Linked DNA regions of Alligator mississippiensis. The protein of the gene in region 2 interacts with the protein of the main gene of each other region in a biochemical or structural test. Links are inferred from orthologs where the notes say so. Each region holds a gene or a part of one and is shown on either strand. Other genes may lie near its edges. The genes, in order: DR1 and DRAP1.

Region 1 (15,595 bases), on a different chromosome or scaffold from region 2:
CTGCACTCCCGCTGCCACTTTGTTGCCTTTGCTAGATGTAGAAAAGGTCGACCCATATTTTCAAAGAGAGCCTAAGACGTGGAACACGTTGGTACTCACCCATCATTATAACTGGTGCTGTTGGAAATTTGAAGACATACCACCCGACCCCAACGCGGGGGATGGGGAGAAACCCCCAACGCTGTATGGAACCTCCGCCCCGGCCTGGATGGCCTCGGACGGAACCTCCCGACACGGCGGAGGCTACGGGTACTATTGTAAGGCCTGTCACGACGCGGAAATACTCTGGGCCCACCCAGACGACAATTCTGCTCAAAAATGCGAACTGCTGGGATTCGTTAAGGTGCTGCAACACTGTCTAATGCACCACAATGATACACTTCCAGTTCCAATCGTTGCAATCAACTAGCAGTATATCTATAAGACCCTTACCGGCACAGCCCTTCCCATCGAAAACTTAAATAATTGGGAAGACATCTGGGAAACTTTGACTAAATTTACACGGCTCCCACTGGTTAAGCACACCAAGTCACACCGCCCTGACACTGACCCAGTGCATGAGGTCATCGACAAGCTCTTGGAAGATCCACTCCGGACTGACGTAGTTCTGCCCATCACCACTACCCCTGATCCCGAAGTCAGCCCGTTCCTCGCATGGCTTCATGAGAATTGGGGTCACCCGGGACCACGGGCCAGCCATTGACACTGGCGCCAAGCCGCTATGGAGCCCACCTCATATGGCGTTTGACGCGATTGGGAAAAGGTAGCACAGGCCTGTGAGAAGTGCAAAAGAAAAGTGCCATTGAACCAAACATCAAGATGGAGCTTTCAACCCCTCGCAATTCCAGACGGGAAAAGTCTGGCAAATAGACCTGCTCGGGCCCCTCCCGGGGTCCAAACCACTAAATAAGGGATTAGTCATCGTCAATTTGGGGACGCGCCAGTTACAGGTCATTCCCCTATGGAAAAGCAACGCCACTGCCGTCGTCTTCGCCCTGACCGCTGCATTTGCCGCCTGGCAACCTCCCCATGAAATTCAATCTGATGGAGGACCCCCGTTTAACACTCTAAACAAATTCGCTCGTCTTCACAACGTCGTATGGCATCTCCATTTGCCATACCACCCGCAATCCAACGGCGTCATAGAGCAACACATCAGCTTATACAAAGAACAATTTCGCCTCAGAGGGGGAGGGACGTACAAAAACTGGACTAAGCACAATCATGACATCCTCATTTCGCTGAACACTGCAAAACCCCTATGGGACGAGGCTGATCCGAAGAAACCTCTACCCTGGGAACCCAAATTCCAACCCGACGAGTTAGTGTGGGTCTCGGTACTGCACCCTCGTCAATCTCGTCCACAAGTCTACAAGGGAACAGTTCATCGGTCGGAATTGTATCCCAACACCTATTCCGTCCTATTGGAGGAAAGGCCCGATCGTTCTCCCATTATCGTTCAGCACAACTGGCTGACTCGCCGCTCCGCCGGTCACCCAGTTTCCTTATAGCGAACCCGATTACGGTTCCCTTTTCTTTTCTTGTTTCCTCACAGGCCCAGCAGTGACGAAGCAGCAGTCTATAGCTGCTCGATCACGAGATCCACTGTAGCACATTCGGGTCGACACAGTAACGGCCACTTACTCACATGTTGTGAACAGGATCATCGTCATGCTTCTGGTGTTCCCAACGGGTTCCTCGGTGAATGGAACTGACTTCGCAACCTCTAACTTGGTCCTGTCCCTTTTATCACTCTGGGCCAACATCACGGGAGACAGTAGCGAGTCAGGACTCACCGCATGCTTACGCCTACCCCTTTCTGTTAACGACCCCGTGTTAACCCCGTTTGTATACCCTCTTAATGTTGATAAGTGGTTTAAAGCCCAGAACACCAATCCGAACCCCAATATCACGGTAGCCCAACATAGTTTTACATACCAACGACGCCAACATGCCATCTATTACCGGTATTCTTGGCCACGTAACTTGACCCTACCTAACATGAACCACTCTGTCTGCAGATCGGAGGCTATGTTTCCGCCTGCCCCCGTCCTGCTCTTCTATAACATCGCGTGTTCAGAGATACCATGGGGGATTAACCCAGAAGGAGTAAAGTAGTCGAGGGACGATAATTCGTTAACCTGGAACCCCACAGCCATTACTCCAACATGGTAGCTAGCCCTTCCCCCAGGCCCGAACAAAACAAGGACACGAGATGAGTCTGGCCTGGTTCCATCCATCCTTCAGCGGCCCCGATCTCTAGTCTCTTGGAACAGGTCGCTAGCCATCAATGTATCGGATGCCCAAGACTGGTGCTCGTATTTTTACCCCATCTTAAGGGTGGCCAGACTCAGTCAGTGGTGCCACGGCTACGATGCGCTCGCCAACACGGTTGATCTCCCTCGCGAGGTAGCTTTAATTAATTGGAAAGGTCAAAGCTGTGCATTAATTAGTACGCCGGCCCCTTTAGGGCTGCTATGGGCTTGTTCGGACAGGCAGCTTTACACTAACCTCCCGGCCGCCTTAACGGGCGTCCAATGCTTTTTGAGTACAGTAATGCTTTGCCCCCCCTTAAGTGTTGACACATCTCACCCGAGTAGTCCGGCCGTACTTCGTCGCCATAAGCGACACGCTCCGGTGTGGAGAGAGTTAACGGACAAAGAGAAATTCAACCAAAAATTCGTGTGGGCGCTTGAAGGTTATTTTGCGTGGGGAATAGGGATAGGCAAGGCGAGAGTCGCTATTGCCAAGTTAGCTGAACAAGTTGAGCTTCTAGCCAATAGTACCAAAACATCCCTGCAGTTATTAAACCATCAATTACAGGCTACATCGCACATGACCATGCAAAACTGCTTAGCCCTCGACGCGATGTTACTACATCTGGGAGGCGTGTGTCAATTCCTTAACCTGTCTAAGGAACACTGTTGTATTAGCATACCCAACATTACTATTCCATTAGAAGATCAGCTCGACCACATAAAACAAACTGCCGCAGACACCAACAACGTCGCTGGGATCGGAAAGGGATGGTTAGCCGACATTTTCGGCTGGATGGGATGGGACACGTCATCTTGGTTAATGCATTTACTAACTCCCCTCATTACCTTGTGTTTACCATTAATCGTAATAGCCATTGTTGTATGTATGGGTTGTTGTATTTTCCAGTTTGTTAAAAAGTGATTCATTAAGCTATCTGCTTACGTATATACCCATTTACCACTTGAACCTTGCAAAGACGACGAGTTCCTAGACGAAAATTACTTGTAACCTAATTCCCTTGTCTATTGTGACATGGTCAAGGGGGCATGTCATAACCAAATGAGTTGAGTGCCCCTGTCACAACACAACTGCCCTGAATAACCGCAAATTTGGTACATTCTGCCTCATTAGCTATTCCCACCTGGCAGTCTGTTATTGGCTACTCTAAATGTATAAAAATCCGTGCAGCTTCCGCCCAAGTTGGAGAGCTCTGAGCACGTGGTAGAGTACGGAGAACTTTGCCACGTGGCAGAGAAAAGCTGGCAGACTGGCCATCCTCCAACATCTCCCTGTCACCATCTGTTCCCGATGTATCCTTCATCCTGCATGCTCGTTTCTGTCTACAAACTCGCCGGCTCGTTTTGTTTCCAGTTACCTGTAACTATGCAAGCAACTCGTTACCTGTAACTACGTAAGCAACCTTACCACCTGCGTCGCGGCCACCAGCGGCGTAAGTAAAGTTAAAGTAAAAGTTATTTTGCAACCAATACGCTATGTCCCGCCTCTCCATCCACCAGCCCGCCTGACGGCTGAGTAATCAGTGATCCTCCTCAAGTCGGCTCCAGCCGTCTGAGACACTTTTTAATGTATTTAATCTTTTATCTGTGTACAGCACACCTTTGGCTTTGTGGCACTTTAATAAATTGAAAGGAATAAATAGGACATGTCAACTGTGGACTTGCATCTTAGATACTGCCTATGCCATACACTATTTACATTAAGAAATAAATAATGAAATCCTCCAAACAAGTGTTTTAGTGTATGTAGAGACTCGCACAAATTCCAAGTTGATTTGTTACACAACAGGATACATTTTAGTATTACCTCAGCATATTGAGATCAAGAAGTTACATTATCAGCATTAAGCAGAGTACAATATAAGTACATTTGCTATTGATTTTCAGTGAGTCTGCCTGCAAAGATCCAGTTGCAGCATCTTGCCCCTCAAAAACTTAAACATTACGTCCATTAATTCAAAGAAAGACTAAACTTGATTTGAAAGGAATCATGCCAAAATTTAGCACTGTTCTACTGAACTTCAGAAAAAAAGCCTGCAAAATACCCAGAAGGTAATTAAAATAAATTACTCTAAATGTAAACCGCTTAAAACAAAGACACAGGCACATGAACAAATAAAGCAGCCCAGCTAGAAACAGAACATAGCCGTGCAAAAGATAATACGTTTCTGGTTTAAGAAGTAACTTTCAGAAAACTGAAACCTAATCTGAGCAAAGCAACAAATAAGAGATCAAATTGTGGCAGGTAAGATTAAGGATAAGAGAAATTTTGAAGAGGAAACAACAAACATAAAAAACCCCAAGGAATTATATAAATATACAGGAAAAGAAAGATTACAGAAGTGGACAGTCCTTTGTATTAGAAGTGAACACAAGGAGTAATCAAGGATAAAGACCTTGCTGAGACCTCAGATGATTTCTGTGCACCAGTGTTTACTGCAAGAAAAGGTAGACCTACCACAGATCATCTCTTTTGACAAATTAAGCTGGAAGAAGTTAGAGCGTCTCACAAGTGGTGCTAGAACAGTGATAAAATTCAGAAGGAAAACTTTACAACTGCTGTTTAATGGATTTGAGAGATGTGAAAGAGACTGAACTGCTACTAACAGCAGCAGTAATGCAGGTTCTCATTAAAATTAGCTACTATATTAGAACTAGGGGGGAAAGCAAACATGGCATCTTCTTTAAAAGAACAGAAGGGCTGAGCCTCAAAATAAGGGTAGTCAAGCCTCTTTACAGTATCAAGTAAATTGGTTTAAGCAGTAAATCCAAACAGAATGTGAAGACATGCCAGAATTACTGGAGCACATCAGTACCATAAGATAAAAACAGGGTTTGGTTTTTTTGGGTGGGGTGGCAGGGGGTTGTTTTGTTTTACAAAAAATTGATCAGACCTTTCTAAAATTTCAAATAATGTTGTCAGTTATTGTAGAAAACTCAATGTAAGGCAGAAGAAACAAAAAACCCAAACACTTTAATTATGGGGAACAGAAAATACTGTAATTATATGCCACTTATAGAAAAGTTACATTATTTTCTTTAATGACATAAACCCTTCTGATTCAGGGATGGGAGGAACAGGTGAAACTACCACCATCACCCGCACTTCTGAAGAGTAAATAAGGACAACAAAAAAAGGAAAATAAGAATAATATGAAATTCTATGGCAATAAAACCCTCCTTACCATATTTAACAGGCCCTAAGTGTGATAGTTGGGAATTAAAGTTTTTTTTTATTTAAAAAAATAAAATGAAATAAAACACCAGGGACAATACTTTACAGACATGCTTGTGTGCATCACTTCACTTTAGTATCCAACCTCATACAAACCCCTTGAATATACTTCCTACCAAAAATAATCACTGTGCACAAAAGGTAAACTAATTAGTATGATTTTAAATTAAATCTGTCCACAGGATCAATCTTACCCACTCTTCAGCCTTTCCCAATTCAATTTCCCGATTTCACTTGGTCTTGCTTCTTAATCCTCACTACTATTCCTAGTTTAAAAATGGTGCTGGTCCCTTTGTTGACTACTTGAGGCAACTATATGTATCAGCACAAAAGCATACAAGAAGTATCACACACATTCTAAGTATGAGTTTTACTTTCTAGAGTCCAAGTTCCAGGCAATGCTACCACAAAGTATAGTTTCAAAGATTTGTTTATTGCAACAAAGTTTAATTCACCTGCTCACCATAATTTGGACGTGAAAAATCCATTTAAAAATTGCAAACGGAAAGCTTTTCAGTGACTTGAGTTGGTAAAAACCATCATAATCTAGATTATTTCAATTATTCATTAATACTTCATAAATCAGCTTTCAAAAGGAACTGCTACAAATGCATGGTTTGGTTGTCTTTCTGGACTTGGAGATAACACTCTGGTTATGCTGCTGCCATTCACAATTTTGTCAAGCAGTAGCAGAGTAAAACTAAAACTCTACTCACTTTCACTATTACTCCTCATATCTCTGTGGGCAGTAATGAAACTGTCAAAACTTGTGGTAATTTACGAAACAGCCACCCTAATTAGCATCATCCTTGAAGACAGGAGAGCATGTAGCAGCTATGGAAGTAGTCAAAAGAGGACAAATGATCCTAGAAAAACTCATTTTCAGCAGCCACATGGGGTAGGAACCAAATGTCAGAGAACACAAGGGCACATTTCTAATTGACACACTTACTACACCAGAAATTAATACAGAAATTGCCAAGCTGGTCCAAGGACAGCTTGGTCAGAATCCCAGAACCCTCCTCACTACATCACTTAGACTGGACTCTCATCCAGAAATGAAAGACCTGGACCTCACTGAAAACCCTGCGTCATCCCCCTGTCCCCCATTTCTGATGCAACCTCAGACCAATTACTGGATCTCAAATCATTGTGAGGAAGATGGGGGAGCAGCAGCCTGCATGGCTGCTGGCCAAGATCATCTTCACCTCATGCATACAGGAGGATTCGGCACCTGGCCCAGGCATTCCAGGAAGCGAGACACAAAACAGAGCCTGGAAGGGAGAAATCCCCACTATGGTTTCATCAGCCCCGGAGGGAGGGCAAGCTTCAGCTCCTGAAAGCTTGGACTGCTATATGTATCTGTCCTCTTTGGCTGGCCTAGAACAGCATTTCTCAACCTGCGGGTCGCAAGAACATGTGAAACAGCTAGAAACAAACTTTAAAAATGGATTCTCCTTTAAGCGAGAAAAACATGGGGAAGGGGGGCTCTTCCCTTGCAGGCTGGCAGAGCTCCAGGGGCTGCTTTGGGGACCCCCTGCCCCACACACAGGGGGGCTGGTGAGAGCAGGTCCAGAGTAGGACTGGCCACGGATGTTTACAAATGGGTCCTGGTATGAAAAAGGTTGAAAGCCACTGGTCTAGAAGGTGCGGACCTGCCCGGCTTCTATTTGACTTTGGACTGCCACGGCTTCTATATCTGTCACCTCAGCCCCACCGCCTCTGCAGGGCAGAGTAACGAGACCTCTGCTTCCCGGCAGCCTGCCCCACCCTGGCCCCCGCGGGAGCGAAGCCACGGGCGCCCACCTTGGATGACATGCTCAGGGGAAATGGTTTTCTTCTCCGACTTGTTGCAGATCTCGTTGGCCTCCGAGGAGATGAGGTGGATGAACTCGGTGCAGCAGTTCACCACCAGCTCGCGGGCGTCGTTGGCCACGCGCACGTTGGGGAGAGTTTCCTTGATCATCTTGTTGATGGCGGCCCGGGGGATAGTCAGGTCGTCGTCGTTGCCGGACGACGAAGCCATGCTCGCTCGCTCGCTCCCGCGCTCCGACCCCGCGGCAGCTCGCTCCTCACATCCAGCGCGGGGCGCTCGCGGCTCCGGGACCGACCGGCCGCCCGGGGGCCGGGCGCGCTCAGGGCTCCCGCAGCTGCTGCCGCCACCACATCCTTCACGCACCACCGCCGGGCGCTCGGGCCATGCCGGCCGCCGCCGCCGCCTTATGACCAGGGCCCGGGGCAGACGGCGGCAGAAGAGCCCGCGCTCGGCTCAGCTGGCGGCGGCGACACCCCGAGCTGAGAGCGGCCGCGAGAGGGAAACGCGATAACGCGGGGCACAGCCTGCGAGAGCGCCACTTCCGCCGGAAGCCGGACACGGCTACTTCCGCTTCCGGGATCCCCTGTGCCGCGGCCCGGAAGTGGGGGCAGCCCCCGCCCGCTGGGCTCGGGGTCGGGCTGTGAGGCTCCGCGGAGCGGCTGGGAGCAGCGGGTGGCGGGAGCGGGCGCCGCGTAGCAGGAAGCTCCTCGGGCGCTCGGCTCCGTCCCGGGTCCCGCCCGCCAAACCCCCCCGCCCCCGGGCGCAGCGACGGGGCCTGCGGCACAGCTCGGCGCCGCTGACTCCGAGCAGCCCCCGCTGGCCTCTGGGCCCTGCAGGGTGGGGCCTCGTCCAGGCGGGAACGAGCCTGAGCTGGCCGCAAATGCTCGTCTTCACCCATCGCCTGTCCGCGCACCCTTCAAAGGACCTGGTGGCAGCCAGGGTAGCCGGCAGGGCCCTGCCCGGGGCTGGACATGGCCACCGCAGGTGGGAGGGTGCGGAGAGCTGTGCTAACAACCCTGCTTGTTCTGCTGCTGCTGCCCTTGGACCTGCTGTAGCTGCTGCTGGCCCTGTGGCTCCTGCCTGGAAAGAGCCTCGTAGCCCAGGGACTTGGATGCCCCGGCCGTAAACAGTACTGTTAGCTGCCCCAGTTTTTAGATGCATGATATCAAGGAATACAGTATTTTCCTACCAGGACCACACTGAACCTAGCTTTCTAGGCACTACTCTCAGGAATTTCCCTGGGGAACTTACCTTTTAGAAAACCTTTTCAGTAAACTGATGCTATGAGTGTTTGTTCCAACTTAAAGGCATTTTTGGCAAACAGTTTGCACTGTATTTTAAAAAAGCATAAAGCTGAAACATTTGTTGGCTATGACTTTCACTATGACAAACTTCTAGATTTCTGTTGCATGTAATTGAGAGATCGAGAATGGGAGCGTTGTCGACAAAGTGACGTTATTTACTTTAGTGCATTTCCCATGAGCAGCACCACACCAGTATACTTTTAGGGAATCTGTTTTGCACATCTTATACCTGCTCCCAAGACCAGAACAATTTGACTTTTGTTCTGACCATTTGTGTAAGTGACAATTAGCACACGTATGCAGTATTAGCAATGAACATATTCAAGTTTTCAGCCATTTCCAGTATCTTCTCTCCATCCTTGTTCCTCACTCCCTACTCATTCCTCCAACATTACTTTAAACCCTTCATTTCTTTTTCTAACGTCCATTCACATCCAGTTTCTCATTGCTCTTATTGGATTCTAGAGGCACTCTTGCAGCCTTTTTCTCTTCTTCTCTGCAGCCCCCTTGTTTTGCGCATATGTTCAACATTCCTTCCGGCATCACAAACTTAGCTGCCATCAATCTGTCACTTGGGAACTCAGTCACACTGCCTTTAAGGCTGCCATGCAATATTACTCCAACTCTCTTCTGCATTAGAGAAGATCCTATATCCTGCTCCTTGTTCTCTTACACTACTATCCTTCCCTTGTGTTTATTATAATCAACCTGCTTGCCCATTCCTTATTTCCAAGAGGTTTACTATTTCTCTCCTGCCTGCAATGCTTTCAGCATTTATTGTACCAGTTCTCATTACTCACTCTTCCACTTGCTTTTTTAACTGCAGCTGTGGGGCCTACTGCACAGGCTTGATCTCTTCCTCTTCTAAAGGATAACTGCAAGATGCTTGGGAATATGTCAATATCTCTCGCATCTGATCCAGATTTGGAGCTATATTTAATTTGGTCTGTGACAATGGTCACAATTTTAAATGGGGACATTATCACCAATCAACAGATATTGTGTGCCAGGGAGTGAGACTGAATTTTGGGAATTTTCCTTCTCCCAGATGGGTTGTCAGCCAGGTTGAAGAAGCCAACGTGCCATGGACATGCTAGTTTTAAGGTGCCTAGTATGGTCAAGTCACAGTGGAATCCACAACTCAGGACCTTGTGGTCAGGAAGCCAGCAAGCCCAGGACTAGGCGTCTCCTTGACTAGTGATAACTCAAGGGACTGGGGAAAATTCAAATTAAAGGAAAAAAAACCCTACTGGCCAGGAAAGAGGGAGAGGGGGAGGAGAAAGGAACACAGTTGAGCTGAACTCAGGACTCTGTGCTTGGGTGATCAACAAGCAATTTGGTATGCCACGTCTATGGATCTTTGCTAGGACCTCCCAGCACATCCACTTGGACTGGTAAGATCCCAGGGGAGCAAACCAAGCCCCAGCCACAAGGCACCATCTAGGCAACTCACAGAATAATTTTAGACTCCTCCAATAATACAGCATTCCACCCTTATAGTTTGAAGAGACCCCAAATGGGGGGGCAAGGGGAAGCCTGGCTTGTGGCCCCCACACCTCTGAGGAGGCTTGTGGCTGCAAACCAGGCCCTACAACGTGGTGCATTCCTGCTGTGGCAGCAGTCAGGCAGATTTGGGAGATGGATCCCACTCTGTTCAGGTGGGCAGAAAAGAAAGTCACGGTCACAGATGGGACAGCACTTCATCCAGGCAAGGCACCACAGAGAAGAGACTTGAATTTACAGCCCGCCAACAGCAGGCCTATAGCCTGTACTATATAGAGCCTGAGGCCAAGTGTTTGCCCTGTGAGACTCGACAGTGGTTACTGCCCATGATACAGCAGCATCTGGAACCCAGGACATTGTATTTAAGAGGCCAGAAAACTGGCCCCTCGCTATCACATAAGGCCCAGGGCCAGGAGTCTCTTCTGCAAGACTCCTTGATCAGTGATAGCTGGGGAAAAATCAAAAGAGAATCACCACCACTGTTAATCCACAAGAGCCCAATCACATAAAAGCAAATGGTAGGAGTTTGTACAGGAAGCTGAATTTTATGGAAGTCTAAGAGAGCACTCTATAGGAAATTACTTTTAAAATTTACCCAACTTCAAAATTCCAGTTTGTTGAGGAACATGCTTTAGATTCTAAATATCGCCTTTCAAAAACTAACAATGTAGCCAAGGTGTAAAAATAAAACAAGAAAACCTGACTTTGTATGCGGAACCCAAGGATGTGTCAGAACTAGTCAGTGGAACTGGCATAATTTAACAGACTACTACAGGTATTCAAATATAGCAGTAAATGTAGGACAGCTGAGGACCAGCATTTTCAAATCTGGGTGCCTGAAACTGTAGGTTGCTAAACCTATATTTAAACACCTAGGTAAAAAGAGTCTTGTTTTCAAATACAGAGAACAACTTAAGTTCCCAATTAAGTCAGTGGGAGATGCATGTATTCAGCGCTTTTGAAAATCTAAATGCATTTATCTAGAAAACTAAATATGGATTTTTAAGAGTCTCCAGTTTTAGGTGCCAGCTTGGAAAATCTTCATTATATTGATGTATTCCTAATAAAAAAAGGAAATAACCATAAGATATTATAAAAAAGTGATTATAAATACACAAAGCATTGTGTTTAAGCTTCTTGGGTCAAATTAATTTCTGTGATAATTGCACTGACTCCTACTAAATTATATCAAAGCTGAATTTGACCCTTTAGGAGTAGCAGCATCATTTAAAAAAATAACACATTCAATGTTCTTTTATTTATACAAAAACTAAAACACACATCAGTTGTTTAAACTTTCCAGTTACTATATTTTAAGACAATTTTAAAAATCTGTACATCTTTTATATTATTAACAACAAGCTTGTTCTAACACTCTAAAATACAGTATTAGAGAGCTAGGTGGTAGTAGGTGATTCAAGAATCACTAGGAAGAGCACACACCAACTGCTGAAACTTCCTTAGCCTGACGAAGAGTTTTTGAATCCGAAAGCTTGCTTAATAAATATTCTCCAACTATTTGGGTTGGTCTAATAAAAGATACCAAATTCACCCAAGGAACCTTGTCTGCCTATGTCCTTAGACCAACACGGCTACAACCTAAACCCCTGAGACTATTAGCAAAGCACTTATATATTACAATAAGGTTCTACAAATAAGATTTTTTTGTACTGCTCTCAGGAGGTTTCACTTTTAATTCCAATAAATGTTGACTACAGACATTCAAAATATTGATAGTCATAAGTCTAATATTTTTACGAGGCACAACTGTACATAAAGAAGATAACCAAAATTATTAACAACAGATCTGGCAAGAGCATTTATCTTCAAAATACTGGTCTGGGAACTTTAAATTCAAAATAAGCCAATGTTGATATATCAACTAAATAGATGCAATGTTCTTTCTACTGCTCCATCTCAGCAGTTTGAAAAAGTTAAGACTTGCATGGAAGATTCTGTCATGATGAAAAACCATTTTGTAGAAGCTATCAATAGGTAGATTTCCGTTTGGATCAGCATATTTCAGAGTTGTTACTGGGGTATACAAGGTGTTGGTCTGATGGCGAAAGGGTGGATTTTCTGTAAGAATTATCTTTACCGTGTGCTGTAAAAATGAGAAATGGGACCATAACTACAAAATATCATTTATCAAAGTAAACATGTAAAAGTCTGGTTTTCACCAAGCAGAATGGTAGAGCAAGCATTAGAGTTTTCCAATTTCCCCTGGGAAATATGACCATATTTGAATGTGGTTAAAATGCATTAAGGCTTTTGCTTAGTATTATTTGGAAACTATATAAACTTGTTTCCTTTTGAGGCCAAGTAGCATAGTTTTATTTTCCAATTTTAAAAGATAATATCGTCAATTGTTTTACTACACAAAAATATAAAAAATCTACTTAGTTCGAGATCAGTGGCAGAGTACATGAAAATCAGTATCTCTCATCAGGGATCTCTCTGCAACTGGGCTGTATGTATCAACTACATTTTCAGACTTGTTAACTGATCTATACCAATATGAGTTGTTGAGTCATGTCATTTGGGTGAACAAAATGTGAAATTAGTAAAAATGAAGGCTGAGGCAAAAATTCTTAATTCAGATACTATATGTCGTATCAAATGTGAGAATGAGGGCCCCTGTACATGTGCAGGTAAAGGTGTGACAGGATTTAATAAGCAATTAAACCTTTACACCTTTACCTGCACATGTGCATGGCAGGAGGTGTGATTCTGGGATTGTGCATTAGGTCCCATCATCCCTTACTGCTGGTACAGAGGGAATCCAATCCTAGGCTCCCCCTGCACCAACAAGAAGCAAGCTGTGGCAGATGGGAGCCCCCTCAGTTTAGGGGCTCCCAGCTGTGGTGGCATCCCATGCACCATCAGAGCTAGGGGATTATAACTTGCAATCCCCCAGCCCCAGGCGTTTCATGAACCCCAGAGGCTGAGAGATGGCAGCAGCTGTGATCCCCCAGCCCCAGGAGTTGAACACACCCCCAAGGCACCTGCATCCCCTGGCTTTGGGACCCAGCTGGGTTTCAGCTTCCACAGCTGCAGGACTCCGGATCCCTGTGTCTAACTTTATAGCAGGTTGAAGCTTTTTATAGTATGATAGGTACTTTGCATGTGTAGCTGGTCTCAAGGTCAACTAGCTACATACAAGATACCTGAAGCATGTAAAGAGGGCCTGACACTTCATATTTGCCAGTTTACACACAGTATACTGACTGCTGTGCAATTTGGGGGCCTTATTCTATTTAAAACAAGTACAGTTTTTTAAAATATACTGTGTGTGGGATTTTCAGATGTGCACAGTGAGGATCTAACTCTCATCCCATGGAAGTCAGTGCTCCGGTAATTTAACTGGGAAGAGCAACATGCTAAAGCTAGAAACTAGGGATGAGAAACCATTAAAAAAAATGAATAATTAATTGCAAGATTAAAAAAAATAGTTGCAATTAATCACAATTTTGATCACACAGTTAAGCAATAGTCAGCACCACCCCCCAACCCCCACCACCCAACAGCCTGGAGCCCCTGTGCCCTGCGGCTTCTCCCTCACCACCACCAACAGCCCCAACCCTGGCCTGCCCCATGCCCACTCTGGACTTTTGCTGGCCAGAGCAGGCCAGCTGGAACTTGTGTAAACAGCCCTGACCCCTGCCCACCCTGTGCCTGCTCCAGACTCACCGGCCCACACTGAGCAGTGGCAGCGGCCAGGCAGAAGCTTCTGTTCGGTGCAGGGAAACAGCGACCCCTCCCCTTCAGCGCTGCCAGACCCTTCTTGCTGCACCTGCCCACACAGGCTGCCCTACTGCTCCTCTGCACTTCCACCACTGGCCTGATGTGTGGGCTGGAGGCAGCAGTGACAGTGGCAGAGAGAAGCCGCAGGGCAGCCCGGGCATAGGCTCTGGGCAGCTGCAGCAAGAAGGGCCCAGCAGCAGGCAGGGGGAAGAGTCGCTTTTCCCTCGAGCTGAGCAGCAGCTTCTGCCTGGCTGCTGCCTCTGCTCAGAGTGGGTGGGCGGCCTGGAGCAGGTGCAGGGTGGGCCGAGGTCAGGGCTGTGCAAATGCGTTCCGGTTGGTCCAAAGCTGGTCTGCTTCACCAGGCCAAGTCCGAAGAAGGTGTGGGACAGGCCATATTTTGCCCACCCCTGGTCAAAATGGATGCGTGTGATTAATGCTCATTACAAAAATTAATGCGTTAATTTGTTTTGTGTTAATCAAGTACATTAACTATGATTAACTGACAGCCCTACTAAAAATCATTAAGAATCATAGTCTGTAAGGTCAACAGTAAGTTAGCGGGACCCTGCAGGCTTCCTGATGTTGCAACTCTTTATGTAGACAGACCTATGCACCCATGTAGCGCCTTACTGAAGTAAATGGTGAAGCATGGGAGTACGGACTCTTCTAAGGCAGGACCATGGCCTGAATTAGTATTTTGTGTATTAAAGATGTACTCTTGTTTTAAAGCTGTCCATCATCATCTAGATGAATTTTTGCTTTGAATTCTATGACACCATGAGCAAAGCACAATTTTTAAACCTCTAGTTTCCCTGATGGTGTCAACTTTTCCCCTCTATGGACAGATCTCAGGCAGAGATTGACTTGCTCTAAAGCTCTACATAAGCCACAGAATATACCAGTCCCTCAGTGACAGAAATCTCATCTCGACTCCAGGTGACACTGTAATCCACAAGGTTTCATGAGATGAGTTGTTACAGTTCTCTATTTAATAGTATTAAAGATTAAGTCATACTTACTTTTTAAAACCTGAAGAATTTTACGCTTTTTCTAAATTCTAAATCTAATAATTTTGCAATTAAGTATAGTTCTATAAGCAAACAACTACAGGATTCTTATATTGTACAAAGTAATACCAGTGAATACCTCTGCAACTTCCTCAGCACTTTGTCCCAGGCTTTGAAAAATCTGATTGTAATTTTTAAGGTAAACATCAGCAAACATACGAGCTGTTTCTTCATCTGCAGCCGAAAGGTCCATTTTCATTCCATCTTCATACACCTTTTTTTCAAATTCTGTGATCACAGGTCCTGGTTCAATCAAACTTAGCCTATTCCAGAAACAAAACTATATTAGTGTTTTTTTCCTATGTGGGAAACATGCAACTCTACCATTCTTATAGACAAACAATGTCAAAGATGGCCCATAGGCCAGATCCCAGTGCTGCCACTGGGTCTCGGGTGATCCACACACCACCACACCAGCTCTACATGCAGGGCCCAGAAAGTGCACCACATGCAGCACCTGCTGTGGCCAGTCCAGGATGTTCAATACATGTGGTACCCACTCTGGGACATGTGGCACCTATGGCACCCACCTCCAGCCTGTCCAGGATTTGTGCCATGTGCCTGCCCAGTCTGCGATTGTGCCACATGTGGCGTGCACATTCCAGACTGGCTAGAGGGGTAGGAAACACGTGTTCCAGGCTGGCCAAGGA
Region 2 (16,420 bases):
TGGGGCAGGGGAGGAGGGTAGGCTTTCCTGGGCTGGGGCTATTGGGCCAGAGGGTGGGGCTACTGGACCAGGGGGTGGGGCTAGAGCTGGGGGGTCCTGACCTGTGCCCCGCCCCCAGGGGCCCCCAACACGGCGGAGTTGAAGATCTGCCGGGTGAATCGTAACTCGGGGAGCTGCCGGGGGGGCGAGGAGATCTTCCTGCTCTGCGACAAGGTGCAGAAGGGTGAGTCACCCCGGACGCCTGGACTCCCCCCGGTGTGGGGAGGGGAGTGGGCTGAGCAGGCACAGTGCGCCGGGTCCCCTGGGTTCTCTGGAGGGGGACGGAGGCCTGGGGCTGAGAGGGGAGTGGGGATGAAGCAGGGGCTCTGTGAGCCTGGGGGTTCCCGCCCTCACTCCTTCCCCCTCCAGAGGACATCGAGGTGCGGTTCTTCCGGGATACGTGGGAGGCGCGTGGCTCCTTCTCGCAGGCCGACGTGCACCGCCAGGTCGCCATCGTGTTCAAGACACCGCCCTACGCCGACCAGGCGCTGCGCGAGCCTGTCACGGTGCACATGCAGCTGCGGCGCCCGTCCGACCGCGAGGTCAGCGAGCCCATGGAGTTCCGCTACCTGCCCGAGGAAGGTACCGTGGGGCAAGGGGGCGTTACGTGGAGAGCCCAGAGCTGGCTGCACCGGGGGGCCTATGCTCCGGGCCCGATCCTGGCCTGGGGTGTCTGCTCTGGGGTGGCCCCCTAAACGCCCTCCCCGCCCCAGGTGACTTCCACTGCATCGAGGAGAAGCGGAAGCGAACCCGCGACACCTTCAAGAGTTTTGTGCAGAAGACCCCCTTTGCAGGTGGGTGGGGTTGGGGAAAGGGGAGGGGCTTCTCCCTGGAGCAGGCTGTAGAAAGGGGAGGAGTCCGGGTGGGGGGCTTCTGCCTGGGGGTGGGGCTGGGGGGGGAGGGGAGTGGCACTTGGTTGGGGGCAGGGCTTGGGAAAGGGGAGGTGCTCATGGCTGGGGGTGGGGCTTGGGAAATGGGAGGAACTCCTGGCTAGAGGCAGGGCTTGGGGAAAGGGAAGGGGCTCCTTGCCAGGGGCTGGGTCTAGGGGAAGGGGTGGAGTCCCTAGGGGCTGGGTTTAGGGAAAGGGGAGGGACTCCTGGATGAGGGGGTGGGGCTGAGGAAAGGGGTGGAGTCCCTGAGGGTGGGGCACTTGGCTGGGGTGGGGCTTAGGTGGGGGGGTAGCTGAATGCCAGGGCTGGGGGTCTGAAGGGGAGGAGCTTAGGGAGAGGGGTCATTGGAGGAGTGGCCTACAGGGTTGTGGGGGTGGGGCTGAGGGTGTCTGGACTGGCAACTATGGGGGGAGGGGCTGGGGGTAATTAGTGACCTGCTTCTCTCTGCGCCCAGCCGCGGTGAGCCAGGAGCCACGGCACCCGCGGCGCATCGCCGTCCCCGCGCGCCCGGCCATGGGGGCCCCCAAGCCCAGCTCTGCACAGCCTGGCCCGAGTGGTAAGGGGGGTTGTGGGGGGCACACTTGGGGGCCCTTGATCCTGCCCAATCCTTGGCAAAGTAGGGGGAGGGGGCAGAAGGGTCTTGATCTGGGGGCAGTGGCTGGGGTGTGGAGGGGGGCAGGAGGGCCCAATCCTTGGTGGGGGGGGTCCCTGAAGCTCAGGGCTGCGGCAGGGGGCCCGGATCCTGAGGGGGGTGGGAAAGGGGGGCCTGATCCTGCCATGGCTGGTTCAGAGGTTGGCCCTGAGCTGTGAAACTGGCTGGGGAGGTCAGGGGGACACAAGGGTGGAGGCCTGATCCTGGGCTGGGGGCGCTGCTCTGACCCCGCCTCCAGGCTTTGACTCTGCCTCTTCCCCCTCCCTCCCTCCCTCCAGTTCTTCCAGGCATGGGCGGAGCCCCAGCCCCGCTGCCCCAGCCCCAACTGAAGCCCCCCAGTGCCTTCCCCTTCGCCGCCGCTGTACCCCGGGGCCCGCCGCCGCTGCAGGCCCTGCCCCCCGCCTCTATGGCAGCCATGGGCCCGCCCCCTGTCAACACCTTCAGCACAGTGAACCTGGAGGAGTTCTCCAGCCTGGGGCTGTCGCCGCGGCCCCCCGGCGAGGCGGAGACCCACCTGGCCGACGCGCTGCTGCAGCTGCAGTTCGAGGGCAATGCGGACGGGCCGGGGGGCCTGGACCTGGACGCGCTGGTGGACGACGTGACCTACACCAGCCTGGAGGCCATCAACACGGCCGAGTTTCGGCAGCTGCTGCAGGGGCAGCCGGGGGGGGGCACCACAGAGCCCGGCCCCCCCATGCTGCTCTCCTACCCCGAGTCCATCACGCGCCTGGTGAACAGCCAGCGGGGGGCGCCGGACGGCGAGGACCCAAGCACCAGCAGCTTTGTCAACGGGGCGCTGGGCGACGAGATGCTGCCCTCCATGGGCGACCTGGACCTGTCAGCGCTGCTCAGCCAGCTCGGGTCGTCCTAGGCTCCAGGCTGGGCCGGGGGGCAGAGGGACTCTGTTGCCCCCCCCACCCGCACGTGGGGGCAACAGAGAGGGGTTGGGAGCTGCACTGCCCCTTCCCTGGACTCTGAAGTTGCCCCCACTTCCCATCACGTGCGGAGCTGGGGGCTGAACTGCCCCACCCCAGAGGGAGCTGAAGGATGGGGGCTTGAGGCCTCCATTGCCCCTGCTGGGGGGCTGGACTCTGGAATTGCCCCCCTCCACTCCAGATGGGGGTGAGAGCTCAGTTGCCTTGAGTGGGGGGGCTGGATTCTGGAATTGCCCCCCCTTGGACTCTGGAATTGCCCCCCACCCCAGATGGGGTAAGAACAGGGTGATGAGAGCACAATTGCCCCTGCTGGGGGCTGGAACTCTTGGACTCTCACACCCCCCCCCCCCCCAATTCCCACCTCTGGGTAATGAACTACCCCACCCTCCCAGGGGCTGGGGAGGCTGGAAAGGGGTAAGTGGACTGCACTATTGTGTGCAGGGGGAGGAGAACCATAGTGGACTGGACTACTGGTTACAGGTGGGGGGGTCAGAGTGGACTGAACTAGTTGCTGGGGGAGAGATCAGACTGAACCATTGTTTTCTTGGGGGGAGAGTGGATTGGCCCATTGCTCTCCCTGGGGAGGAGAGTGGGCTGGCCTATTCTCTGGATGGGGGGGAGCAGTGGTCTGCCCACTTGCTCCCCTGCATGGCAGGAGGCTCTGCTAGTTTTGGAACATGGACTGGCTCATCGGTGCGGGGAGGGAGTGGGCAGGCCCATTGGTCATTAGCTTGAAGAGGGGGTGAGTGGGTGGACTCATTCTTCTTGGAGGGGGGAGGAACCATGTGGCTCCGCCCTTAATGAGGCAGTGGACTCTCCCACTTCCTGGGGGGGAGCAGATGATACTGCAATTGGCTGCCCTTCCCTAGAAGGCAGGGCATAGAGCAGCCAATCGGAGGCTTGCTTTGGTTATGGGGGGAGGGAACCTGCCTTAGAAGACAAGCATTAACCCCTTCCTGCCATTGTACCCCACACTGTACATGGCAGGGCAACTGGTCTCCTTTGCCCTGGGGGGGGGCAGTTTTTGGGGCCATAATACTCCCCCTCCCCTTTGCATTTTAATGCTTTGTGCCTTGTTGGGGGGGGCTAGCTTTAGGCCCCCCCATTTTGACTTCCATTACTTGTATATGGCTGAGTTGGGGGGAGGGGGGAGTTAACCCCAGGGGTGCCGAGCTGCCTGGCCTGTATTCTCACCTGACCCACCGTACCAGGGGTGGGGGGGACAGATTTAAAGCTTATTTTTATGCCGCTAATAAACCCGAGTCAAATGCGGATCCTGGGCTGGCGTCTCCCTGCTGCGCCCAGACTGGGGATGACCCCGGGGGGAGGGGGCTGTCTCTGCTTAGTGGGACCAGTCTGGGGCAGGGGATTTCAAGGGCCTGTGGCCGAGATGGGACGGGGGTGAGGGGGTAGAGGCAGGACGCCTGGGTTCTCTCCCGGGCCTGGGAGGGGAGTGGATGCTGGGGTAGGGCAAGAGCAGGGGAGGCTGGGAGCCAGGACACGGGTCTGGAAGGAGGTGGAGGGGAGACTCAGATCCCTTCCTCCTCGGGCTGCCATGACCCGGCAGAGGCAGGCTTGGAGACATGTAGGTGCCTAAATCCCTTGGGCCCTAGTCTGGGATGTCCCCTCTAGTACCCCAGAGCCAGGGGTCTGCAAAAGCCTTGGGTGGGGGGGGGGAAGAGGAGGAGCCAGAGGGAGTCAAGAGCTGCTGATTGGCTGGAAAGGAGTCATTTTTATTGAGCTTTGTGACCTCTTGGAGCTTTAAAGGGCCACTGCACCAGCCTCACTGCAGGGCTCTGCATGAAAGGGGCAGCACCTTGAGAAAGAGCCCCTGCTAGGGGGCAAAGAGCTGTGGCACTTTAAAAACAGTGGGTGGGGTGAAGTGGGGGGCAGAGCCCCTCCAGTACAGGGCCATGAGAGAGTTAAGCTGCCAGAGCTCCTGGACCACACTTCCCAGCAGGCCCTGAGCCAGGGAAGTAGTGCATGCTGGGACTTGTAGTCTCCACCCCAGCCCCAGCCCAGCCTGTGCATGGGGGCATGCCTACTAGCCCCTCCTCACCTAAGGAAGCAGTGTAATACTGGGATACAGGACCTCAGCCGCACAGCTCCAATTCAGGGGAATCAGACCCCACAGGAGCAATGCATGGTGGGACACACTGCTCCAGTCCAGGCAGGGCCAGAAACCCCCCCCCCCCCCAAGCAGTGCATGCTGTGACATGTAGCCTCACTCCCACTTCAGGTGAGGGGGGCAGACAATCTAAGGGAGGGGCAAGACCCTACACCCCACACAGAAGCAGTGCATGCTGGGATAAATAACCTCAGCCCCACAGCTCCAGTCCAGGGAGGCAGATAGTCCAAGATAGGCAGAAGGGGACAAGACCCCCACCCCCTCCACAGGAGCAGTGCATGCTGGGACACAGAGCCTCACCCCATTACTCCAGTCCAGGGACAGGGGGGTGAACAGTCAAAGGGGGGGGCCGGGCCCCCCCACAATGCTTAAGTGACCTCGGCATTGGTAACCTTGTTGAGGACGCGGGAGCGCCGGGGCACGCACTCCAGGTCGAAGCGGCTCTCGTAGATGGTAGGGCAGAGGCGCCAGCGGTTGTCGCGGTAGATGCCCAGGTAGGTGTAGACATCGGGCTTGTAGGCCAGCGGGCACTTGACGCCAGCAGCCCGGATGGCAGCGTCGGCAGCTAGCACATGCTCCTCATCTGTGAAGTCATCCGTGTAGACACACACCACGTGGCGCCGTTCACCATCAGGGTGGCAGGGGCTCACCTTGGCCACAGTGAAGCGCCCGTCCAGCACGGCCCGGGCCACACCAGCCCAGGCGTGGTCCACCTTGAAGCCTGTGTCCAGGTGGATGAGCCACTTGCCCGTGAGCACGCCGTGGTTGAGGGCCAGCTCCCGCACTGTGGTGTGGGTCACGGAGCGGCCGCTCAGCTGCAGCCGCTCCCACGCCTCCTGCAAGCCCACCACGTCACCCGCCTCAGGACTGTAGCCGGGACCATACACGGCAATCCAGCCCACGGGCCGTGGGCCATAGCGGGCCACACGGGAGGGCGGGTAGGTGGCCAGCCATGCCTCAAACTCGGCCCGAGGGGTGCGCCGGGCATCAAACACCACCCACGGGTCCATGTCGGCTGCCATTGACTCGGCCGCCAGCTGCTCAGCTGAGAAGGGGCCATCCCGGCCCCCGTCGCCCTCATCCTGGTCTGACATAGCTGCTGGGTCCTGGAGCAGGCACCTGCCAATGCGGGGGAAGGTAGGGGGGAGGTATGGGAAAAGGTCAGGTGTCACAGCTGCCTTATGGGAAGGCTGGGAGGCAGGTGGGCTAATTAGTTTGGAGTGACAAGCTTGTTAGGGTGAGGAGCGGGCAAGGTAATTAGCTCTGAGAAAGGGGCTCTAGCTTTGCACTGGTCAGGCTAATTAGCTTAGGTAAGAGGCAGGCAGACTAATTAATTCTGAGGAAGAGGCTCCCTTGTTTGGCAGGGGCCAAACTAATTACCTTAAGCAGGGGGCAGGCAGGCCAATTAGTTTCAATTAGGGAGGGCAAGCTAATTCAGGTATGGTGCAGGTGGGCTAACTGGCAGGTTGAAAGGCTCATCAGCTTCACATAGGACAGGCAGGCTAATTACCTGGTCAAAGGGGTTTATTTTCAGTAATTGCCCTAGGTTTGGGGCTAATTCACTCCATCAAGGGGCTCTTCAACTTTGCACAGGAGCAGCTAATCAGCACAGGCGGGTGGGCTAAGCTGACTGAAGAGCCTGACTGTTTTGGGAGCTACCGTTAGGGGAAGGCTGCTTAATTAGCCCGAGGATAGTACAAGCGGGCAGGCTAAACAGCTCCAATTGGAGGGGGATGGTTAATTAATTTAGGGTGCAGGCAGCTAATCAGTTGCGATTGGGAAGGGGGCTGGTTAATTAACTTACAGCACAGGGCTAGCTCCTCGGTTGTACGTTTAGCGTTGGTCGGGGGAATCCACAAGCCAATTAACCGAGCTATTAATTGGCTAGCAGCAGGGCTGTCCCTAGGGGGAGGTGAACAGAGGCAACTGCCCTGGGCCCCATGATTTCGGGGCCCCCATGGAGCAGCAGCTCTGCGTCCAGCCGCTCGCTGCACCCCACCAGCCTCTTTGGGTCCGGGGCCCACGGGAGCGAAGCAGGGGCAGGGCCCCGCACCCTGCTCGGGTCATCTCTGCCCGGCAGCTCTCTGCCCGGCAAGTAGCCCCAGAGAGCTGGGCTGGGCTGGGGCTCAGGGAGCGGGAAGGTGAGGGCTCTTTTACCCCCTGCCCTGCGGAGAAGCCCTCCCACCCCCAACGGCTTCTGATTCTGCCCCCCCACCCGGGGCAATCAACCCGCTCCCCCCAGCTGCCTCCACCCCAGGGCACTCAGCCGTGGAGGGACCCGTTCTGCCCCTGCCACGGGGGCCGCCTTACCTGCGGCAGAAGAAGGGAGCCGGGGCAGGGGGCTGCTGCCTGGTGCTGCCCTGGGGGAGAGAGGAGGCAGGTTGAGGCCGCCCAGTACGGGGCCCTGCCCAGCACCAGGTGCCCCCGACGTGCCCCCCAGCCCCATGATCAGCCGGCCCCGCGCCCCCAGCCCCCCCCCCCATAGGAGCCCCCCCAGCCCCATGTGCCAGGCCCCCTCCCCCAGTCGCTGCCCCGCCCCCGTGCCAGGCCCCCCCAGCCCCTCCCCTAATACGAGCCCCCGCCCTCACCTGGCCCCTCTCAGCGGCCCGCGGCCGCCGCCATCTTGAGGGAGGGGGCGGGGCCGAGCCCGGGGGGAGGCAACGGGGGGGGTCGGACGGGGGAAACCGGAAATGGCAGAAGCCGACACGGAGGTGCACGGAGGGTGAAGCAGGAAGTTACGTCTGGACAGAGGCGGAAAGGAGCTGCTCGGGAGGGGAGGACTTCCGGGAGAGGAGGGGGAGGGGAGGGGCTGCAATGAAAGGGCGGGGCCTCCGGGGGCGGGGCCCGGCTCGAAGGTTGCGGGAGGTACCTGGACAGCGCGGGGCGGAGTCAGCGAGACTAGGGGCGGGGCCCTCCCTGGCGGCTGGGGGAGCCCGGTGTGGGGGTAGGGGCGGGGCGTCCCCAGGCCGGGTGCGGGGCGAGCCGGGAAGGCAGTGTTGGGACAGGGCGGGCGCGGGGCAGGGGGCGGGGCCAGGCTGGGATGGGCGGTGCTAGGGCGCGGGGCAGGGGGCGGGGCCAGGCTGGGCGGGCGGCGCTAGGACCGGGCGGGCGCGGGGTAGGGGGCGGGGCCAGGCCGGCGGGCGGCGCTAGGACCGGGCGGGCGCGGGGCGCAGCGGGCCGCGATGCCGAGCAAGAAGAAGAAATACAACGCGCGGTTCCCGCCGGTGAGCCTGGCCCGGCGCCTGGGGCCCTTCCCCATCCTGGCGGGTGGGGGCTGCAGCCCGGACGGCGGGGCCCCTCGGGCGCCGGGTGGTCGCGCCTGGGCCCCTCCCTGGGCCCCCCCCCGGACGCCTCGGTTCCTTTCCGGGTCGTCCCCCCCCCCCGGCCACCCTGACCCCAACCGCCTGTGACCCCTGACCCCGCCCTAGCCGGCCCCGCCCCGCCCCGCCCATCCCCCGGAGCCTGCGCCCCTCTGGCCCCCTTCCCTGTGACCCCGACCTTCCGCCCTCGCCCCCCTCGCCCCAGGGCCTGTGACCTCGGACCTCGCAGCCTCCCCCGGGCCCTTCCCTCCTCCGGGGCTGGCCCCGGGGTATCTGTGGGGCCGGGCGGGTACGCGGCCCCCTGGGCTCCTTTGAAGACGAGGGCCTGGCCCGCATGCCTGGGCCCCTTCCCGGCACCCAGCTGCCTGGGGCCCTTTCTGGGGCCAGGGCCTGGCGCCCGGGTCCCTTCCCGACACTGGGGGTTTGGCAGCCGGACACCCCGGTTCCTCGTGGAGGCTCGGGCCCGGCAGCCTGGACTCCTTCCTAGGGCCGGGTCCAGCGCCCGACGCCTGGGTTGTCTGGGGCTCTGGGGGGGGGCTGGGGGGAGAGGGGTGGGAGCCGGGACACCTGGGTTGTCTCCGGCTGTGGGAGGGGGCAGAGGAGGCATGGGGGATTGCAGCTGAGTCTGGGGTGGGGGCACGGGGAGAGGAGGTCCGTGGGGGGCGTAGCGTAGAGGCATCTGGGAGCCCCCCGGTGCTGGGGGGGCGTGGGGCCCAGTGGATCAGAGCAGGGGAGTCTAGGAGCCCGGCTGCCTGGGTTTGATCCCCAGCTCGGCCATGCGAAAAGGTGGAGAGCTGGGATGCCGGGCACGTGGATGTCTGGGACCTCTGTCGGCTCTGGGAGGGGAGTGGGAGGAGGGGAGAAATAGCCCTGATCTGGGCCTGATCCTGGGGGGCTCTAGCTCAGGCTGCCCCCCCAGCTCTTGACCTGTTCCCACCCCCAGGCGCGGATCAAGAAGATCATGCAGACGGACGAGGAGATCGGGAAGGTGGCGGCTGCTGTCCCCGTCATCATCTGTATCCTTGGCAACGCCTGGACGCCTGCCTGGGTTCTCTCAGGGTCTGGGAGGGGAGCGGGGGCTGAGGGACCGGGCGGATGCCTGGCTTCTCTTGGACTCGGGGAGGGCAGTAGGGGCTGGAGCCCGGACACCTGGGGTCTCTCCCTTAACCCCTGCCTTGCCACAGCCCGGGCACTGGAGCTGTTCCTGGAGTCGCTGCTCAGGAAGGCCTGTCAAGTGACGCAGTCCAGGAACGCCAAGACCATGACCACGTCCCACCTGTGAGTGCCCCGGGTCCCGTCCCCTGGGCACCTGGGTGATCTGCCCGCTCCAGGAGGGGACTGGGGTCTAGGGGATTAGAACAAGGCGTGGGAGGGATCTGGGCTCTCTCCCTGCTCTGGAAGGGGAGTGGGCTGGGGGTGAAAGCGGGGGGGCTGGGAGCCCGCATCCCTGGGTTTCCTCCAGCTCGGGGAGGGGTGGGTTCCAGGGCAACGTTTCTCAATCTGGGGGTTACGACCCAGAAGTGGGTCGCAAGAACATACGAAAGAACAAACTTGAAAGTGAATTCTCCTTTAATGGAGATAAATGTGGGCACCGCGGCTCTTCCCTTGCAGGCGGGCAGAGCTCCAGCCTGCAAGGGGCTACTTGGGCCCTCTGCCCCACGCACTGGGGGCCGGGGCGTGGGGGAGCGGGTTGGGGCTGGCCGCTGAAGTGTAGAAATGGGTCCTGGTACAAAAAAGGCTGAGAATGGCTGTGCTGAGGGATTAGAGCAAGGGGCGGGAGGGGTCTGGGAGCTCTCCCCCTGCCTCACCGTGTCCCCTCTGGACAGTCCCAACCTGGCTTCTGTGCCTCAGTTTCCCCACTTTCAATCAACATGGGCTGGAGGGGCCTGGCAGGGGCTGTGAATCTCCCTGGCAGGGGGAAGTATCCTGCTGGGGGCTGTGGGAGACCTTGGGGATGTGATGGGTTGGGGGGAGGGGTGGGTTGTGGCTTGGCCCTGCCCCCTCTGACCCCCTGCCCCTCCCCCTGCAGGAAGCAGTGCATCGAGCTGGAGCAGCAGTTTGACTTCCTCAAGGACCTGGTGGCCTCCGTGCCCGACATGCAGGGGGACGCTGAGGACAACCACATGGAGGGCGAGCGGGTCTCCCGCAGGTGGGGGTCAGTGCAGGGCAGGGCCAGCAGGGAGTGCTGGGTAGTGAGGGGGTGGAGCCAGGTCTGGGGGGGCAGGGCTAGTGGGAGAGGCTGGGCTGCAGGGGTGGAGCCAGCTCTGGAGGGGCAGGGCCAGAAGGGGGTGCTGGGTGTAAGGGGTGGAGCTAGTGGGGGTGGAGCCAATGAGGAGGGGGTGCTTTAGCTCCACCAGCCCTTGTTGCCCCTGGAAAGCTAAGCAGGGTTGAAGAGGGTCTGTGTGTGGATGGGAGACCACCACTGCCCCTGCTCGGGGACACTTTCCCCATCTAGCACCTGACACCCCTTGGAAGCTAAGCAGGATCAGCTGGGATCACTTTGTGGATGGGAGACTGGGTGCCAATGCCCTGGCAGTAGGGGGTGCTGCAGGGGGGCTCTCTCCTTTTAGGCCCCAATACCCTGGGTGGGGGGTTCATCTGGGCTACCAGGGGCTCCATTGCCCCAAATTCTGAGACCTGCCATGCTGCACCCCAGAGGTGGCTGCAATTTGACTGCACCTACTGGGATTCAACCTGTGGGGGGGGCTCGGCAAGGGACTCTGATGCCTGGTGGGTCTATGCAGGGGCCGGAAGCCGGGCAGCGGGAGGAAGAACGGCGGGACAGGGGCCAAGGGCAAGGACCCTAAGCAGTCGGGCACTGACTCGGAGCAAGAGGTGAGGCGAGGGTGGCCAGGCAGGGGAAACTCCTGGGCACCGGGATGAGGGCAGTGGGAGCCAGGGGGCAAGCCTGAGAGCCCAGACACCGGGGTTCACTCCAGCTGTGAGAGGGGGGTGAGAGCTGGGGGGATGGGCTCCCAGACACCTGGGTTCCCCACACCTCTCTCACACCTGTGCTGCGTCCCTGGGGATGAGCCCCTCCCCTGCCTTGGCCCTCGGTGCCCCCAGCACCCAGCTCTGGGGAGCGCCACCCCTCCAGATGTGTGCCCGGGGGGTGGGGGGCAGGCTCCCCGTGATCTGCCTATCTCCCTCTAGGAGGACTCGGAGGACAGCGAGAGCGACGCTGAGGAGGAGACGTTGCAGACGCTGCCCCCCAGCCGCCCCCCCGCCACGTTCCCCAGGTACTGACCCGGAGCCTGGATTCTCTCCAGGCGTGGCATGCGGGGGCGGGCGCTGGGAGCCAGGATACCTGGGGTCTCTTCAGCTGGGGGGGGGCTGGGGTGTTGGATGCCCAGATGCCTGGGTTCTCTCCCCTTCTCTGTGTGGGGGGAGGCTGGGGGTGGGCCTAGGACTGGCCTATCTGCCCCCATCTTTTTTCTGTCCCCATCCCCTCAGCTCACCAGCACCATACCTGCCCTTCGCGCCCGCTGCGCCTCCTGGGATGACCATGGGCCTGGCTGTGCCTGCGGCCCTGCCCACCATGACGCCGCCAGCGCCCCTGCCCCCTGCCCCCACCCAGGACGAGGAAGACGAAGACTACGACTCGTAGCCCCCCGGGGTCCCTTTTAGATGCTGCATTGGGGGGAGGGGGGCAAGTGGATCTTACGTGTAATTATGGAGTCGGATTTCCCCCTTCCCTCCCCATGGCTGATCATTTTAGGGGTTCCCTGGGGGGTTGAACCCCCAGATCTCAGAGCCTGGGTTGCCCTGTTCTTCCCCCCTCCCCCCATTTCACACCAGCCCAGCCCAGAGTGTGTCCCCAGTCTTGCATCTTGGGGATCCCCCCCTCCCCTTCTCGCCACAGGTCACGGTGGCTGGAAGCAGCTGCTTCTCTCCAGGGCCTGGGGAAGGGGGGGGTGAGAATAGGAGGGGCACTCTCCTAGACAGAAGTGGGGGTGGGGGGGCAACAACGGGCCGTGGGGTGGTAGACAGAGACCCCTTTTGCAGGGCAGGGAGGGCATGGAGTGGGTCCCCTCAGGCTCTCCACCCTGTGCATTGTGGGTGGGGGCCAGGCAGGACCCCTTGTAGAAAGAGCCCCCTATGGGTGGGGGGGAGGGGCATCAGGGATAGGGGATCCCCTACAGCAGAGGCACCCTGAGGGGAGGGTGGGGGGATCCCGAATAGACGCAGCCCCCCTGGCAGGGAGGGGGGAGGGGAGCAGGGCATAGGGAGGGACCCCCTGGGATCCATGGCTCATAGCAGACAGGCAGCCCCTCAAGTGGGGGGGGGGGGGACCCGGGGCTGGGGGCGCTGCTTACCCCCCTTCCAGCTGTGGGGGCGGGGGGGGAGCCTGGGGGCGGATCGGGGACCTCCAGCCCCTGCGGGGGGTTTTGTATTGACTCAATAAAGGTCCGGTTTGAAGCCAGCGGCTGGCGCCACTCACTGTCCGCGCCCGTGCTGCCCCTACTCCCCGTCGCCTCCTCCAGCCCGCCTGACCCCTCTCGGGGGGCGCCTACTGCCCGCCCCTCTGGTGCAGCTGCGGCCGCTTCCCCCCTGCCCCGCACGTGGGCTACTTCCGGGTTGCCCACTGCCACCTCATTGGCTGCGGCGCCGGCCAATGGGAGCGCAGCTTACGCTCCATCCGCTACAGGAAAGCATCGCCACTCCTCCCGCTGTGGGTCTGGCGCTTGCGTCTAGTTGAAGAGGCTGCGTGGTCTTTGCGCATGCGCCGAGCCGGAAAGGCGACGGGTGTTTTGCGCATGCGCGGTTGCTAAGGGGCTTGCGGTAGCCCCGCGCATGCACGGCGGGACGCGGAAGCCGGCAGGTGGCGGCACGTGGGTGTGCGGGGCACGACGGCTCCCACAGGGGGAGCTATGGACCCCCCAGCCCTGCAGATGACACCTATTGGGGGGGACCCCAGGGCCACCCCCTCCAGGGGCAATCCATAGGGCCTGGCCTCACCTGTGGGGGGGTGAGGGGGCTGTGTGTCTGCCCCAGACTCCTGGGGTCTGTCCGTCCCCTGAATGTGTAGGGCGTGCGTGCATGATGCGGATGCCTGGGTTCTGCGTGTCTGTCCCGGGGAGGGGGGCAGTCCACATGCACACATTCAGCTGGATGCCCCGACGCGCCCTGCCCCTGCCCCCCGCAGCCCCAGACACCGCAGCCAAGTCCCACCCCGCCGCCGGCGCCGACCCCCTCTCCTGTGTCCCACGGCACCCAGACACCAGGCACCTCAGTGGGCAGCTTCTCCACGGACCCGTGGCCCTGGACGCTCTGGCCAGGGCCCCCCCCCCCCCGAGTAGGGGTCCGGTCCCGTGGCGGATCTGGCCGCACCCTCAGCTGCCTCCGTGTCTGGTGGCCGTGAGCCCCGTGCTTTCGCTAGACGCTGGGGGAGAAGGAGCTTCCTGGTGCTCGTTTAAACTAACGACCTCCCTTCATGGCCGGCCCCTGGTTCTGGTTGGAGAAGGTCGGTTGTCAAGCCCTGTGGACTGTCCCGTCACCCCTTGGGATCAAGCCTTCCTCACCCCGCACCTCGGACAGGCCAGGCCTCCTTAGTGGCTCCTCACACAGAGGTTAGAGGATTCGGCGGGAAACCAGCACTGAAATCTGCTGCTCTTGCGTCTGCAGGGGCTGGGAGAGACCCACCGGAGCAGCCCCCACCCCCTAGCACCATGCCTCTGGAGGGGGTGAGTACCTGGAGATCGCGCTGGCTTCCTTCGGGTCTGCCCTCGCCAGCCGTGGGCAGGGGCACCAGAGGCCCTCTCCGGCTGGAGATGTTCTGCCGCTGTTGGGGGTAGGGGGGGGTCTCCTGATGTCTTGGACAGGCCTGATCCTGCCTGGGGCAGCAGGTGGGCCTGGATGAGACCCCTGAGCTCCCCCCAAGCCCCTCTAGGACCCCATTCGATGGCCCCAAGCCCCCAGTGTGGCTGGAGCCAGCCTTGCACCCCCAACTCTCCTGAGCTTCTGTCTGGGCAGCCGGAGCCGCAGCCTGGAGACCTCCTCGAGTTCGACCGCGCTGGCTACAAGCACTGGGGGGTCTACGTGGGAGAGGATGAGGTGAGGGGGTGGGGGGGTGGGGGGCTGGGCCCAGCGGGTGGCATCGTGGGAAGCAGGACAGGCAAGGGGTTGGCGTAGCACCTGCTAGACCTGGGGACCTCGGGGGGGGATGCGAAGGCGCCATGAGCCAGACACCTGGGTTCTGGGCGGGGGCGTGGGGTGGCACTGGACTGTGTGTGTGGTGCCAGATGCCTGGATTTGGGGGGCAAGGCAGGGGTCCCGGAGGCCTGGGTTCTGTGTATGTGTGTGCGTGTCCCTCGGGCACCTGGCTTCTCTGCACATGGGTGCGTGCCCAGGCTCCAGCCCTGCTCTGCTCTCCTCCCTCTCCCCAGCCCGGGCTCCTGGATCCCTTTTGGAGGTTCCTCGGCTTCACCCGACCCAAGTGTGTCGTCCACGTGGCCAGTGAGCGCTGGGGCGGCTGCTGGGGTCCTGGGTAGGGGGATTGGACCCCACTCCCAGGCAGACCCGGGTGCTGGAGAAGCTGCAGGGGGAAGGAGAGGGTGAATCCCCCCCCCCCCCCAACCAGCCCCCCTTTTCTGCAGCCAGGGAGGGGAGGCTGCCCGGACCCTCGATCCTGGGAGGTGACGGTGAGGTGCAGCCTGGAAGAGCAAGGGGAGAGAGGTGGAGGTTTCCAGTGTCAGGGGGACTCGGCTGGTGGGGGTGTTTAAAGGGGCCTCGCCCAATTCCTTCTGCCCATGGCGATGTGCAGAGACCCCCCTGGGTGTGGAGGTGCAGAAGGAGCCGCTGGAAGTCGTGGGGGCTGGAGCCCGGTACCGCGTGAGGAACCTCCACAATGGGGAGCTGCAGGCCTTCCCCCAGCGGGAAATCATGGCCCGAGCCAGGCGGCAGCTGGGGCAGCCGTTCCCCTACGACCTGGTGGAGCAGAACTGCCAGCACTTCGCCACCTGCGTCCGCTATGACGTGGCCAGGAGCGCGCAGGTTGGTGGCACAGATCTGGAAGGGACGTCGCTGTCGGAGCAGGGGGAGACGCCCAGGGAGCTGGGAGCTCTGCCATGGGGGCTCAAGGAGAGGTGGGAGGGATGCTTGGGGAGGGGCGGGGAGTCTAGGCCTGTGTTGTACTGGGGTGGGGGGGGGGGTCTCCCAGGCTCTGGGCTGGGCTGGTTGCTCCCTCCTGTCCCCATTTCTGCTCCATGTGTTGGGGTTTTTAAGCCTCCCTCGGAAGGCTGCCAGGGGGCTCCTGAGGTCCTGTCCAGTCCAACCCCTTCCGGGTGCAGAATCAGGCCTGTCCAAACCAGCCCAGGAGACTCCATCGTCCCAGCGCAGGGGTAGGCTGCATCCGGCTCATGGGATCCTCTTGGCTTCCAGGTGGAGAGGGTGAAAGGCATTGCGTGGGCTTTGCTGGATATGGTGAGTGGACCCCCTCCCCCATGGGCTGCTGGGGTCTGGCTGCCTCGGGCTCTTCCCTACCCTGGGGAAGAGGCAGCAGGAGCAGGGCCATAACCCTTGGACTCTTCCAGTTCGAGGCACTGTGGAGCCGCGAGTAGCCACATCCTGCAAGGCCAAGGGACCCGGAGCAATAGAGAGCATGGACCCCACTGCCTCGCTGCCTCATTCTCCTGTCGCATGGTCCTGCCCCCCCCCCTTGCCCCCCACCATCTATCCTGTAAGCGAGGCTCCCAGCATCCTCGGGGTTGGGGGATGCGGCCATGGGAAGCCCAGACACCTGCATTCACTCCCCGTTCTGGGAGGGAGGGAGGGACGGAGTGGGGCAGCTGAAGTGGTGGGGGGCTGGCTGGGGGCTAAAGCTGCTCTGGGAGTAGCCCCCACCCCGCCCTTGCCCCAGGCTGTGGGAAGGAAGGTTTGATTTTACCTGCGATGAATTGTGCCCACAGTGGGGCCATGAGCTCAGCCTGGGGGAGGCAGGGACAGGCCAGGGACCCAGGCATCCGGGGAGGCTGGACTCCAGTGCTCTAAGCCACGAGGCCGGCACTGGGAAGGTGGAACCCAGGAGTCCGGGCTGGCAGCGCCCCCTGGCACCAGACCCGCCGCATCTCTGGGTCCCGGGGCTGGGAGCCTCCAGCAATGGATCTTGGGGCAGCCAAGAAGAGTTGACGCAGGTGCAATCTTGCCCCCAACCCCGCTGGGCCCATCTGGATCCAGCCTGGATCGGGGCCCTGCCCAACAGCGCTGCCCTTAGGCCTGGATGGGGGAGCTGGGGGGCAGGCAGTGCTGGCCTGGACGGCGTGAGGCAGAGGGGGGCCCAGCTGCATGGGGGAGCCCTGGCTGCATGGGTCCTCATGCACACGCCCGTGTGTGTATATACAGACATGCACATATACATGTACATAGGTGTGTGTGTGTGTGGACGTATATGTCTACACACATATATAAAAAACACATAAGTATGCACAGATACACCTATTCATATAGAAGCAGCTACA

The links.
Region 1: the proteins of DRAP1 (region 2) and DR1 form a complex in vitro, tested with the Homo sapiens proteins (2 studies listed by BioGRID). The link is inferred for Alligator mississippiensis from reciprocal best matches to the Homo sapiens genes DRAP1 and DR1.

The regions. Positions count from the first base shown.
Region 1 is NC_081828.1:33,508,243-33,523,837, reverse strand, and holds the start of DR1 (protein Dr1), read right to left. Parts: upstream 7,873-15,595; 5' UTR 7,538-7,872; coding exon 7,318-7,537; intron 1-7,317. Other genes in the region: retinol dehydrogenase 8-like, read right to left, coding at 12,017-12,238, 15,025-15,208. UniProt on the Homo sapiens protein: The association of the DR1/DRAP1 heterodimer with TBP results in a functional repression of both activated and basal transcription of class II genes.
Region 2 is NC_081838.1:4,270,972-4,287,391, forward strand, and holds DRAP1 (dr1-associated corepressor), read left to right. Parts: upstream 1-7,758; 5' UTR 7,759-7,826; coding exon 7,827-7,868; intron 7,869-8,907; coding exon 8,908-8,980; intron 8,981-9,148; coding exon 9,149-9,242; intron 9,243-9,993; coding exon 9,994-10,119; intron 10,120-10,708; coding exon 10,709-10,799; intron 10,800-11,117; coding exon 11,118-11,203; intron 11,204-11,417; coding exon 11,418-11,571; 3' UTR 11,572-12,387; downstream 12,388-16,420. Other genes in the region: RELA (transcription factor p65), read left to right, coding at 119-223, 409-621, 753-833, 1,384-1,485, 1,860-2,452; C15H11orf68 (UPF0696 protein C11orf68 homolog), read right to left, coding at 5,013-5,738; phospholipase A and acyltransferase 2, read left to right, coding at 13,821-14,018, 14,351-14,420, 14,728-14,957, 15,345-15,479. UniProt on the Homo sapiens protein: The association of the DR1/DRAP1 heterodimer with TBP results in a functional repression of both activated and basal transcription of class II genes.